Drosophila melanogaster: one gene and its partner. The protein of the gene in region 1 binds, or shares a complex with, the protein of each later gene. Each region holds a gene or a part of one and is shown in the gene's direction. Other genes may lie near its edges. The genes, in order: Zw10 and Zwilch.

Region 1 (5,128 bases):
CGTTGTAGTCGGCGGGACTGACGCAAGCAATCATCAGCGTAATGGAATTACCGCCCAGGGAGTCCTGCAGCAGACGCGTCAGCTTGGACTGGCGATAGGGTATGTAGCCAGCGGCCTGGCCAGCTGCAATTTATATGGAATATATAAAAATGGAGATCAATTTTCAAGCCAGTGGCTAAATGATAGATACTCACATCCCAGGGCATTGATCACGTTGCCCAGGGCCAGAAGACCCTTATTGATGTTCACACCCTCTTTGAACCGATCGCCGCTGGCTAGGGTCTTTGAGCAGCGTTCAGAACCAGCCAGATCCACCAGGTTGAACCTGGACGTGGTAACGGATTGCCTATCGGAGATTGGAGGTCAAATGTGTATAAGCATTAAGTATTCTAACGAGGTGATGGCGGCCCACAACATACTTGCCGTCCAGCTTGGTGGCTACTAGCGTCAATGTGAATATGGCATGGGATCTTGAAGAGGTTTCATTCATAGCCGTGGCGGCCACAGCCCGTCCGGCTGAGCCGCGGATCAGATGATCGGTCACTTGCTGGGCGGATGTGACCACTAGCTCGGTGAGGCCCGGCATGATAATACGGTTCTTGACCTCCCTGATGTCTACGGTGGCCTTGTCCCGAGTTTTCGACGAAAAAAGGTCATAGAACTGCTCCTGGTAGAGCTCCACAAAAGAGCATGTGACAGCAAAACGAAATTCGCTCTGCATTTCCGCAATGGCTGTGAATATATCATGAACGGCGCGTGGTATAACGCCCACATGGTCATCTAACACTCCGTTGAAGGCGGTGCCCATAGTGTAGGTCTTTCCGGAACCCGTTTGTCCATATGCCAAGATTGTTACGTTATAGCCATTTAACAGCTTTTTCACTTTGGCCTGTACACACGTCTCGAATAGATCCTTTTGCGAGTCGTCAATGTCGAAGACATAGTTGTACGTATACGACTCATTCCGGTTGACTGTAACCTGTGGCGCTCCATCCGCCGATCGTTCGACGGCAATCCGGCAGCCGCGATCCAACTCGGACTGCACCAAGGGGCGCACGCGCAAGGCCACTGCCACACAGCTGGGATCCTCGCTGGACATCTGGGGGTAGGGGGAGGGAAGGACAATCATAACATTCCATCACCTTTACCGCCATCTCGACCAACACCACCAACCACTTACCTTCTCTGGGGCACAGCAAGTCCGACTTTGGTTAACTGATCAACTGGTTAGCACTTACAAAAACTTAGAATTTTGGTTGGTCTAGATTTTGGAGCAACGCGGCTTCTCCACGCGCAGCCCGGCACTCTCAATGAATTCGATTTTTGGATCAAGGAACTAAACTAATGAAACGCGACGCTAAGAAGCAAATGCATTTCTGCCAGTATTTTTAAAAATGGCGTTGTTATCGATTCGTTGCAGATGTCGATTAGTGGCGCGATCGACGGAGGTGCCGGTGTAGAAAGATTTCGATTTTTTTATAATTTGGCTCTTGAATAGCACATTTGCAAAAATGTGGTTGGACGATTTGTGCACGCCGATTTGACAAAATGAATCATTGACAGTGTATCTACATACTTATACATAAAAATAAAAGCTACCTAGATCTACAACTATTTTAGCTACTGCCAGTGATAAGAGCCCAATTCTTGTCAACTAGCCAATTCGCCGATAGCCGATAGCAGACAGCCGCACATATCTATCGCTTTTTTGAACAATCGTTGGTAGCAACAGGGAATTGCAGAAACCAGTTGTCTTGGGTTTCGCAAGAATTGGAAAAGGAGGATCTGGTCAAAGAGCAGGACATGGAGGAAGAGGCGCCGCGGTTCAATGTGCTGGAGGAGGCGTTCAACGGCAATGGGAACGGGTGCGCCAACGTGGAGGCCACCCAATCGGCCATATTAAAAGTGCTGACGCGCGTTAATCGCTTCCAGATGCGCGTCCGCAAGCACATCGAAGACAACTACACGGAGTTTTTGCCCAACAACACGTCGCCGGACATATTTCTGGAGGAGTCGGGGTCCTTGAATCGCGAGATTCACGACATGCTCGAGAACTTGGGTTCCGAGGGACTGGACGCCTTGGACGAGGCGAATGTCAAGATGGCGGGTAACGGCAGGCAGCTGCGAGAGATCCTTTTGGGTCTGGGTGTCAGCGAGCATGTGCTAAGGATCGACGAGCTGTTCCAGTGCGTGGAGGAGGCCAAGGCCACCAAGGATTACTTGGTGTTACTGGACCTTGTCGGTCGTTTGAGGGCTTTCATCTATGGCGATGATTCCGTTGACGGGGACGCGCAGGTGGCCACGCCAGAGGTTCGACGCATCTTTAAGGCTCTCGAGTGCTACGAGACCATCAAGGTGAAATACCATGTACAGGCATATATGCTGCAGCAGAGCCTCCAGGAGCGCTTCGATCGCCTGGTGCAGCTGCAGTGCAAATCCTTTCCCACATCGCGTTGCGTCACCTTGCAGGTGAGCCGGGATCAAACGCAGCTGCAGGATATTGTGCAGGCTCTCTTCCAGGAGCCCTACAATCCGGCGCGCCTCTGCGAATTCCTGCTGGACAATTGCATAGAACCGGTGATCATGCGCCCAGTGATGGCCGATTACAGCGAAGAAGCCGATGGTGGCACCTACGTTCGATTGTCGCTTTCCTACGCCACCAAGGAGCCCAGCTCAGCGCAGCTTCGCCCGAACTACAAGCAGGTCTTGGAGAACCTCAGGCTGCTGCTGCACACGCTGGCCGGGATCAACTGCAGTGTGTCCAGGGACCAACATGTTTTTGGCATTATTGGCGATCATGTGAAGGATAAAATGCTGAAATTACTGGTGGACGAGTGCCTGATACCAGCTGTGCCCGAAAGCACGGAGGAGTATCAGACATCCACGCTGTGTGAGGATGTCGCCCAGCTGGAGCAGCTGCTTGTAGACTCATTCATCATCAATCCCGAGCAAGATCGAGCCCTAGGGCAGTTTGTAGAGAAGTACGAGACCTACTACCGCAATCGGATGTATCGTCGAGTTCTGGAAACGGCGCGGGAGATCATCCAGCGCGATCTGCAGGACATGGTGCTGGTGGCGCCCAACAACCACTCAGCCGAAGTGGCAAACGATCCCTTCCTCTTCCCACGCTGCATGATCTCGAAAAGTGCTCAGGTAAGTCGTTCGCTAAACGAAACGATTGATTACGCACTAATGGATTCATTTTCGCCGGCAGGACTTTGTCAAACTAATGGACCGCATTCTTCGCCAGCCCACGGATAAACTGGGCGACCAAGAGGCCGATCCCATAGCCGGCGTCATTTCCATCATGCTGCACACCTACATCAATGAGGTGCCCAAGGTGCACCGCAAGCTGCTCGAGAGCATTCCACAGCAGGCCGTCCTGTTCCACAACAATTGTATGTTCTTCACACACTGGGTAGCGCAGCATGCGAACAAGGGCATCGAAAGCTTGGCGGCGCTGGCCAAGACACTGCAGGCCACCGGTCAGCAGCATTTCCGCGTGCAGGTCGACTACCAATCCTCCATCCTGATGGGCATCATGCAGGAGTTCGAGTTCGAGAGCACGCACACGCTGGGCTCTGGTCCACTGAAGCTGGTGCGTCAGTGCCTTCGCCAGCTGGAGCTGCTGAAGAACGTGTGGGCCAATGTGCTCCCGGAGACCGTGTACAATGCAACCTTCTGCGAGCTAATCAACACATTTGTCGCCGAGCTAATCCGTCGAGTGTTCACGCTGCGCGACATTTCCGCACAGATGGCCTGTGAGCTGAGCGATCTCATTGACGTGGTGCTCCAGCGGGCGCCCACGCTTTTCCGCGAACCAAACGAGGTGGTCCAGGTGCTCTCTTGGCTTAAGCTGCAGCAACTGAAGGCCATGCTGAACGCGTCGCTCATGGAGATCACAGAGCTGTGGGGCGACGGCGTCGGCCCGCTGACCGCCAGCTACAAGTCGGATGAGATAAAGCACCTAATCAGGGCGTTGTTCCAGGATACGGATTGGCGGGCCAAGGCCATTACGCAGATTGTATAGGGCGCGTGCGCCTTTTTTGCGAGCGAGGAATGTTGAACGGCGGATAGACATCACATTTGAGGTGGTAAACGGAGTCTAAATTTGATGATCACCATCAATGTGTCCTTACTTTAATTCCTTGAATTGTTTACCACAAATGCCAAAAGTAATAGAATTTGATAATCTTTAATTCTCCGAATGGTTTCTGTTGTACATAGAAAAGTAATTATCCACAAAAATCCATTCCATTCTTCCCGCAACGCAACACAATATTTAACTTAAGACTTATTTAAATGAATAAAAACAACTAAATCCCATTAGTGCGCCTCTTGTCGCGCTTGTAGAACGAGCATGTATAGCTGCTCAGTAAGCAGTCTGTGATCTCGGCCGTGGGTGACGGTTAGGATGCGTTGGGCCTCCTCCAGATGGTGCAGTGCCTCCTTGGAATGGCCCTCGTAGAGCTGAATCTTGCCCAGCTTCATGTGAAGCAGGCCCAATAGCGGATTCCAGGGTCCGTGGTATTTTCGAAAGCCTGGCAGCAAACGTTGCCCGTAATCCAGGGCGTCGCTCCACTTGCCCACTTCGATGGCTGCTTCGAAGGCCGCATCGAGCGTCTTGACGTACCACACATTCAGGGGATGGAACACGCCAGTCTGCTTGTCCAGACACACCTTGCACACATCGAGATCTGTGATCGAGAGAGTGAAAATGTGCTTATTATGGAGCTAATTCCATTTCGTCGCATCTACTCACAGGCCACGTCCTTCATGTTCTCCAGATTGTGCCGGGTCAGAGTCATCGCCTCGTTGAAGGCATTTCTCAACTTGGGACTGATGCCGGCATCGCATCGCGGGCAATTATTGCGGTCCACACTGATTCCCGCACCGCAGTTGCGATTGGGACACAGGGCAGCCAGCATCTCCTTCGATTCCTTGGCATCCGTGCACTTGCTGCACACGCATAGGAAGTAGTAGTGCTCCTTGAGGTCCAGACGCCTCTGCTCCGGCGTATTGAGCAGGTCGATGTAGCTGATGAAGATTTTCGACCAGTCCAGGCATTCCATGTCCTCGATCGCGTGGACGTGCAGCTCGTTGCCCTCGAAGGTGGCGACCGCATTTG
Region 2 (4,960 bases), on another chromosome or scaffold:
GGCCTGCGGAGGAAGGACTGCGCACAAAGGAGCACGGCATGGCCTAAAGCTGAGCGGAAAGATCGCCCGCCTGGAGCAGCAGGAGCGCGAGATGCTGGAGAAGCTTCAGCGCAAGCTGAAGACTACGCCTGAAACCGAGCATCGAGCAGTGGAGTCAGTTGATGACAGTGTGGAGCAGTGTGATACGAAGGCAAAGAAAAAGAAAAAATCCATAGCGGAGGAGTTTTCCGAGGCATGTGAGGTTTCCCAACTGGAAGAGCCCATAAAATCCAAGAAAAAGAAGAAAGACAAGGCTGAGAAGGCAGGAAAGGAATCCCCAGCACATCAAACTCCAGAAGATCCCGTCAAGATCAAGAGGAAAAAAAATAAGACACGGGAGCCGGGAGAGGAAGACGGTGTGGAAGTCGAAGAGCCAGTGAAGATAAAAAAGAAGAAGGACAAGAGAGCGGATAGGCAAGCAGGGCTTGGAGCAACTGAAGGACTGCCCCAGGATGTTGAAACTGATGAACAAGTAAAGTCAAAAAAGAAGCGAAAAACGGCGGACTCTTCGGAGGAATCGGAAACTAGCACAAAACTAAAAAAGAAACGAAAGAACAAGGAGAACGTGTAATAGTTATAGTCCACTTTAGAATAAACGATGTTAGAAAAATGTAATTTATGAAAATTGCTCATGGAATTCTAAAATTCTATACGGAGTATTCCACATTTCGAAAGTAAGGCTGTGTGCACACAAAATGTTATGTATTTATGGGTCTAAAAAATCTATACAGGATTGGGGGCTTTATAAAACTAGAGTTTGGTCACCTAAATATAGTCGGCAGTCCCGGGGATTACTTTCTGCCCTTGGCCTTAATGCGTCGCGATTTGCCAAGCCGCTTGTTGACCGAAGCACCTGCCTTTACGCCCCGCTGGCGCCTGGAGGACTTGTCGCCATCCAATCCCGCGGAGGAGGACTTTGTGTTCCTCTTGAGGCCCTTCTTCTTGCCGCCGAAGCCGAACTTCTTGTTGCGCTTCTTGCGATTCTCGGCTGACTGCTTCTGCTTGGACTCAAGCGCCTTGGCGTCCTCCAGGAAGTCCAGGTTTTTCAGCTTGCCCTTGCGGAACTTCTTCAGTTTGTCCAGCATGTCCTTCTTCTCGGCTTCGCGTTGGACCTTGGTCTGTTTGGCCAGCATCTTGCCCATCTTGCGCTGCTCGCGGATCTGCTTGATGCGCTCGGATTTCGCCTGTCCTTGCTGTTTGGCCATCAGGTTGGCGCGCACCTTCTGCATGTGCTCGTCGGACTTGGCCATTTCAGCGAAGTAGTCATCGGGTCGACGAGTCTTTATGCCCAGCTCGTGAAGGCGGGGAATGGCCTCCAGAACAGCACTTTGCGCCTGTCGGTGGAAGAGCATCTCCCTCTTGAAGTCATTCAGGACGGGATCCTCCTCGGGCCGAATGTAGGGCAGCTTGGCGTTGCCCTTGAAGAGATTGGCCCGCTTCTGCTCGTGCTTCTCCAGCTGTACAGCGAGTTCCGGCGCCAGTGGAGCTAGTGTGTTGATCATGTCCAGGCGTTCCAGCCAAGGCAGTTGCATCTTGATAGCCTCTGTCTTGGCCAGCAGTTTGGTCTATGTGGGCAGGATTGGATTAGTCGATTCAAAAGCGGGCATCCAGCTAGCTACTTACCACATCGTTCACTTTGTCTCTCTGGCCATTGAATTCCACATTTAGGCCTGGTTTCAAGTCGCCTCGCTCAAATGCCGCTTGCAGCTGCAGGAAAAGAGTGGAGATTTTGGTATACGGGGTGTTCATTTCTTCGGTTCCTCACTTACCTCGGCATCTGAGTTATCCCCTGAGTCGTAGCCCGAGGCACTGTCCTCCATTTCAAAGTCCGACATGTCTGAATTAACTAAATTAAATCTGATCCAAATAAAAGAAAACAATTTCAACACGTGCGGGGATAAGAATTATCGATTGTTGCTGGCCTAAGTCTATCGGCTATCGATGTTGCAGTGTGACCTTCACGCGGCTTACTGCTAAAATTATTGAGGTGCACTAAAAAGCGAAGTGCTGTGTGACCGTTTAACCAATTCTCGCTTCGCTTTTCAAATACTGCCGCTTTTTGTTTCTGTTTTGCGAATTTGCTCCAAAAATGTCGGCTTCTGCGAACTTGGCAAACGTTTACGCGGAGCTAATGCGGCGGTGTGGCGAGTCATACACGATCACCTATGGAGCGCCACCCACCTACTTGGTGAGCATGGTGGGGGCTGCGGAAGCTGGCAAGAAGATTGTGCTGGTCTTTAAGGAGGATCGCAATGGAGCAGTGGCGAGACTCCGGACCACGCCCACCAGGGCAGCCCCAAAAAAAGAGGGCTCTGCGGACTTGGATCTGACGGGAAGTCCTTTGAAGGACGACTGCCTGGTGGACGCCATAGCCGACTTGTCCATCGACCTGCAGCTGGATCACTCGAATCCCTGGAAGCTGGAGGAGGAATATCAACGCGGAATACCCGTGGACAAGGCTAGGTCCATCGTGTGCTCCGAGTTCCTGCAGCTGGCCGAGGGACTCGGATCCGTGTGGTTTTTGTGCGACGGCAGTGATCTCGGGCAGACTCAGTTGCTCCAGTACGAGTTCAACCCTACGCACTTCTCCAGGGGAATACTTAGCTACCAGGGTGTGCGCCCTGCTTACTTAGTAACCTCGCAAGCCCTGGTGCGCCATCATGGCAAGACACCGGATGAAACTCTCATTGAAAATAGCTACCAGGTCAATCCCCACATGAGACTACGCTGCTCCTGGACCTCTAGTGCTGCACTTCCGCTCCTGGTGAACCTGAACGACTGCGATGTGGCTTTGAATCACACTTTTCGCGTGGGCGACTGCGGTCCTTTGACGCAGGACTTTATGAATCAGCTGCGCATTCTGGTCTACATACGCGAGGACATCGTCTCCTACCACACGGATGTCAAGCAGGGCGTCTCTCGGGATCCCACCTATCGTTGTGGCAGTGGCATTGACATGGACGAGCTGCGCGAGTCCATTAATCAGACAATGACAGATGTCTCTGGCCTTATAGGTCGGTATAGCATCAGCAATGCGGAGTTTGACATCGAAGATGTGGTGCAGAGGGCCAAGGTTCGCCAGCTCACGGATCTAACCGATAAGCTTTGGGAGCTGCTCAAGTGCTGCCACTCCTACAAGGATCTCAAAATTGCCTTTAGTATGCTCTTCCAATGTGCTGCACGGTGTAACATAGTAGTAAGTATGCTAATGCATGCAAACCACCACATATTATTCATGTTCCTCACCCCATAGAACACGCCTACTAACAAAAATCGACTTGCCAAGATTATCACCGAGTTGGCCAACCGTCGTCTGGCCATGCCTTGTTTAAGTGGGGCCGAGCCTCTGGAACTGCTTTTGGAAATTGGCCTGGAGAAGTTGTACAAGGACTACGAGTTTATCTACACCGAGAGCAAGATGTGCAGCACCAATCTGTTGAAGGATGACTCCAGCGGAGCGTCGATGGACGATGGTTCTCCCCAGAATCTGCCCCAGCTTCGAAAATCCCTGCACAATGCGGTCAGGGGTGATCCGACCCCTGGAGCTGGAATGCGAAAGACGCTGCTGCATCATCACGGCGCTGTCAATTCGCGGAGTACAAAATATGCCGGTAGCGACGATGATGCTGGGTTCAAAAACAGCCATTTCGACGAGCACGAGAGTACGGAGAGAATCTCAAAGTTGTTTCAGATTCACTGCACCTTAGAGCATCTCCTGATGATGCACATCCACTTAAATCTGGCAAATGGTAAGAAGGACAAAAAGCAGATCCTGGGATTTTTAGCTATAACTCCGTTTTTGACCTACAGTTTACAACGATGTCTGTTCTGAATTGCTGAAGAAACCGCCTAAATTAGTAGAATCCATCGATGATCAGCTAAGTGATGTTATGGACATTCGCCTGTCTGCCCACTATGTGAGGGATCACTTGGATGGCAAGGATCCCTACTCCCGGCACATTACCATGCGTTCGCACAACAAGTTCCGCGAACTAAAGACCACCTTCTATTTCAATTCGGAAAACATTTGTCCGCCGAACTTGGCTCAGTGTTTCCAGTGTGATGGTAAGTTTGCTTTTTGACTTGTTTATTTTCTATAGCTATGGTAATATATTTGACTTCGCAGACAAGGAGATGGTCAAGGAGCGCACATATCATTCCTGGATATATCACAAGATTCGCTCACTTAAGTAAGGCTTGCTTAGTAATACAAAATTGTACATTCTTTAAATTTAAGCATGGCTAAGAATGGTTTAAAATGGCCTTTTTCACATTGTAATAATTTATTTAATGGATATCTAGCAAGAATGTCCCTTAGCTGCATAATGTTTTGAGACACATTTAAAATGTTGAATTTTTTCAAACACTGCTTGTTGTATTATTAAATTAAATGCCTTTTGGTTATAACTTTTCAAACTTTTTTTCTATCGAACCTTTTTGTTCGGAATTTTAATTGTTTGAGCTTGTTGAACACGCTCTTCGACGCGTTTTCGCAAACCTCCAAAAAAGTCAGCAGTGCACACCGAAATCATGTTAAACGAACTCGTACAAGTTTTAAGCCGACCCAGAGGCTATTGCAGCTGCATTGGGAATCTTGAAAACCTGGCCGAAATCCGCTTCCGCCCTGCTCGCACTTTTATCACAGTGTTTTTGCCGGCCATATTCTATACAAAGGTCAGCATGACCAGCATTTGGCCATTCCTCCAGTGAAGTAATGCTGCAAATGAGGCGAAAAGAGTGTGTGCCCAATGGTGACGGCGCCATCGAGCATTCCCGATATGTTACAATCCAATTAGCCGGATGCGCCAGTTGGCCAACTAGAGTACTTGGCCCGTCGCTGATTGATTTGCAGTTTGTCAGACGTGCGTGGAACGCGCAGCGGTTCGGTCGTGTTTTTTCCAGCCCTGTTTTTCCCCTGAAA

The links.
Region 2: Zw10 (region 1) and Zwilch share a complex: the UniProt entries of both Drosophila melanogaster proteins name them as parts of the RZZ complex.

What each region holds. Positions count from the first base shown.
Region 1 is NC_004354.4:2,602,500-2,607,627, forward strand, and holds Zw10 (Zeste-white 10), read left to right. Parts: upstream 1-1,697; 5' UTR 1,698-1,803; coding exon 1,804-3,153; intron 3,154-3,214; coding exon 3,215-4,030; 3' UTR 4,031-4,325; downstream 4,326-5,128. Other genes in the region: Klp3A (Kinesin-like protein at 3A), read right to left, coding at 1-123, 195-346, 420-1,099; Smyd3 (SET and MYND domain containing, class 3), read right to left, coding at 4,327-4,697, 4,763-5,128. UniProt on the Drosophila melanogaster protein: Essential component of the mitotic checkpoint, which prevents cells from prematurely exiting mitosis. Required for the assembly of the dynein-dynactin, Mad2 complexes and spindly/CG15415 onto kinetochores.
Region 2 is NT_033777.3:31,210,458-31,215,417, reverse strand, and holds Zwilch (zwilch), read left to right. Parts: upstream 1-2,041; 5' UTR 2,042-2,128; coding exon 2,129-3,235; intron 3,236-3,292; coding exon 3,293-3,788; intron 3,789-3,849; coding exon 3,850-4,104; intron 4,105-4,165; coding exon 4,166-4,233; 3' UTR 4,234-4,452; downstream 4,453-4,960. Other genes in the region: CG15561 (uncharacterized protein), read left to right, coding at 1-610; CG1542 (uncharacterized protein), read right to left, coding at 831-1,604, 1,663-1,746, 1,809-1,874. UniProt on the Drosophila melanogaster protein: Essential component of the mitotic checkpoint, which prevents cells from prematurely exiting mitosis. Required for the assembly of the dynein-dynactin, Mad2 complexes and spindly/CG15415 onto kinetochores.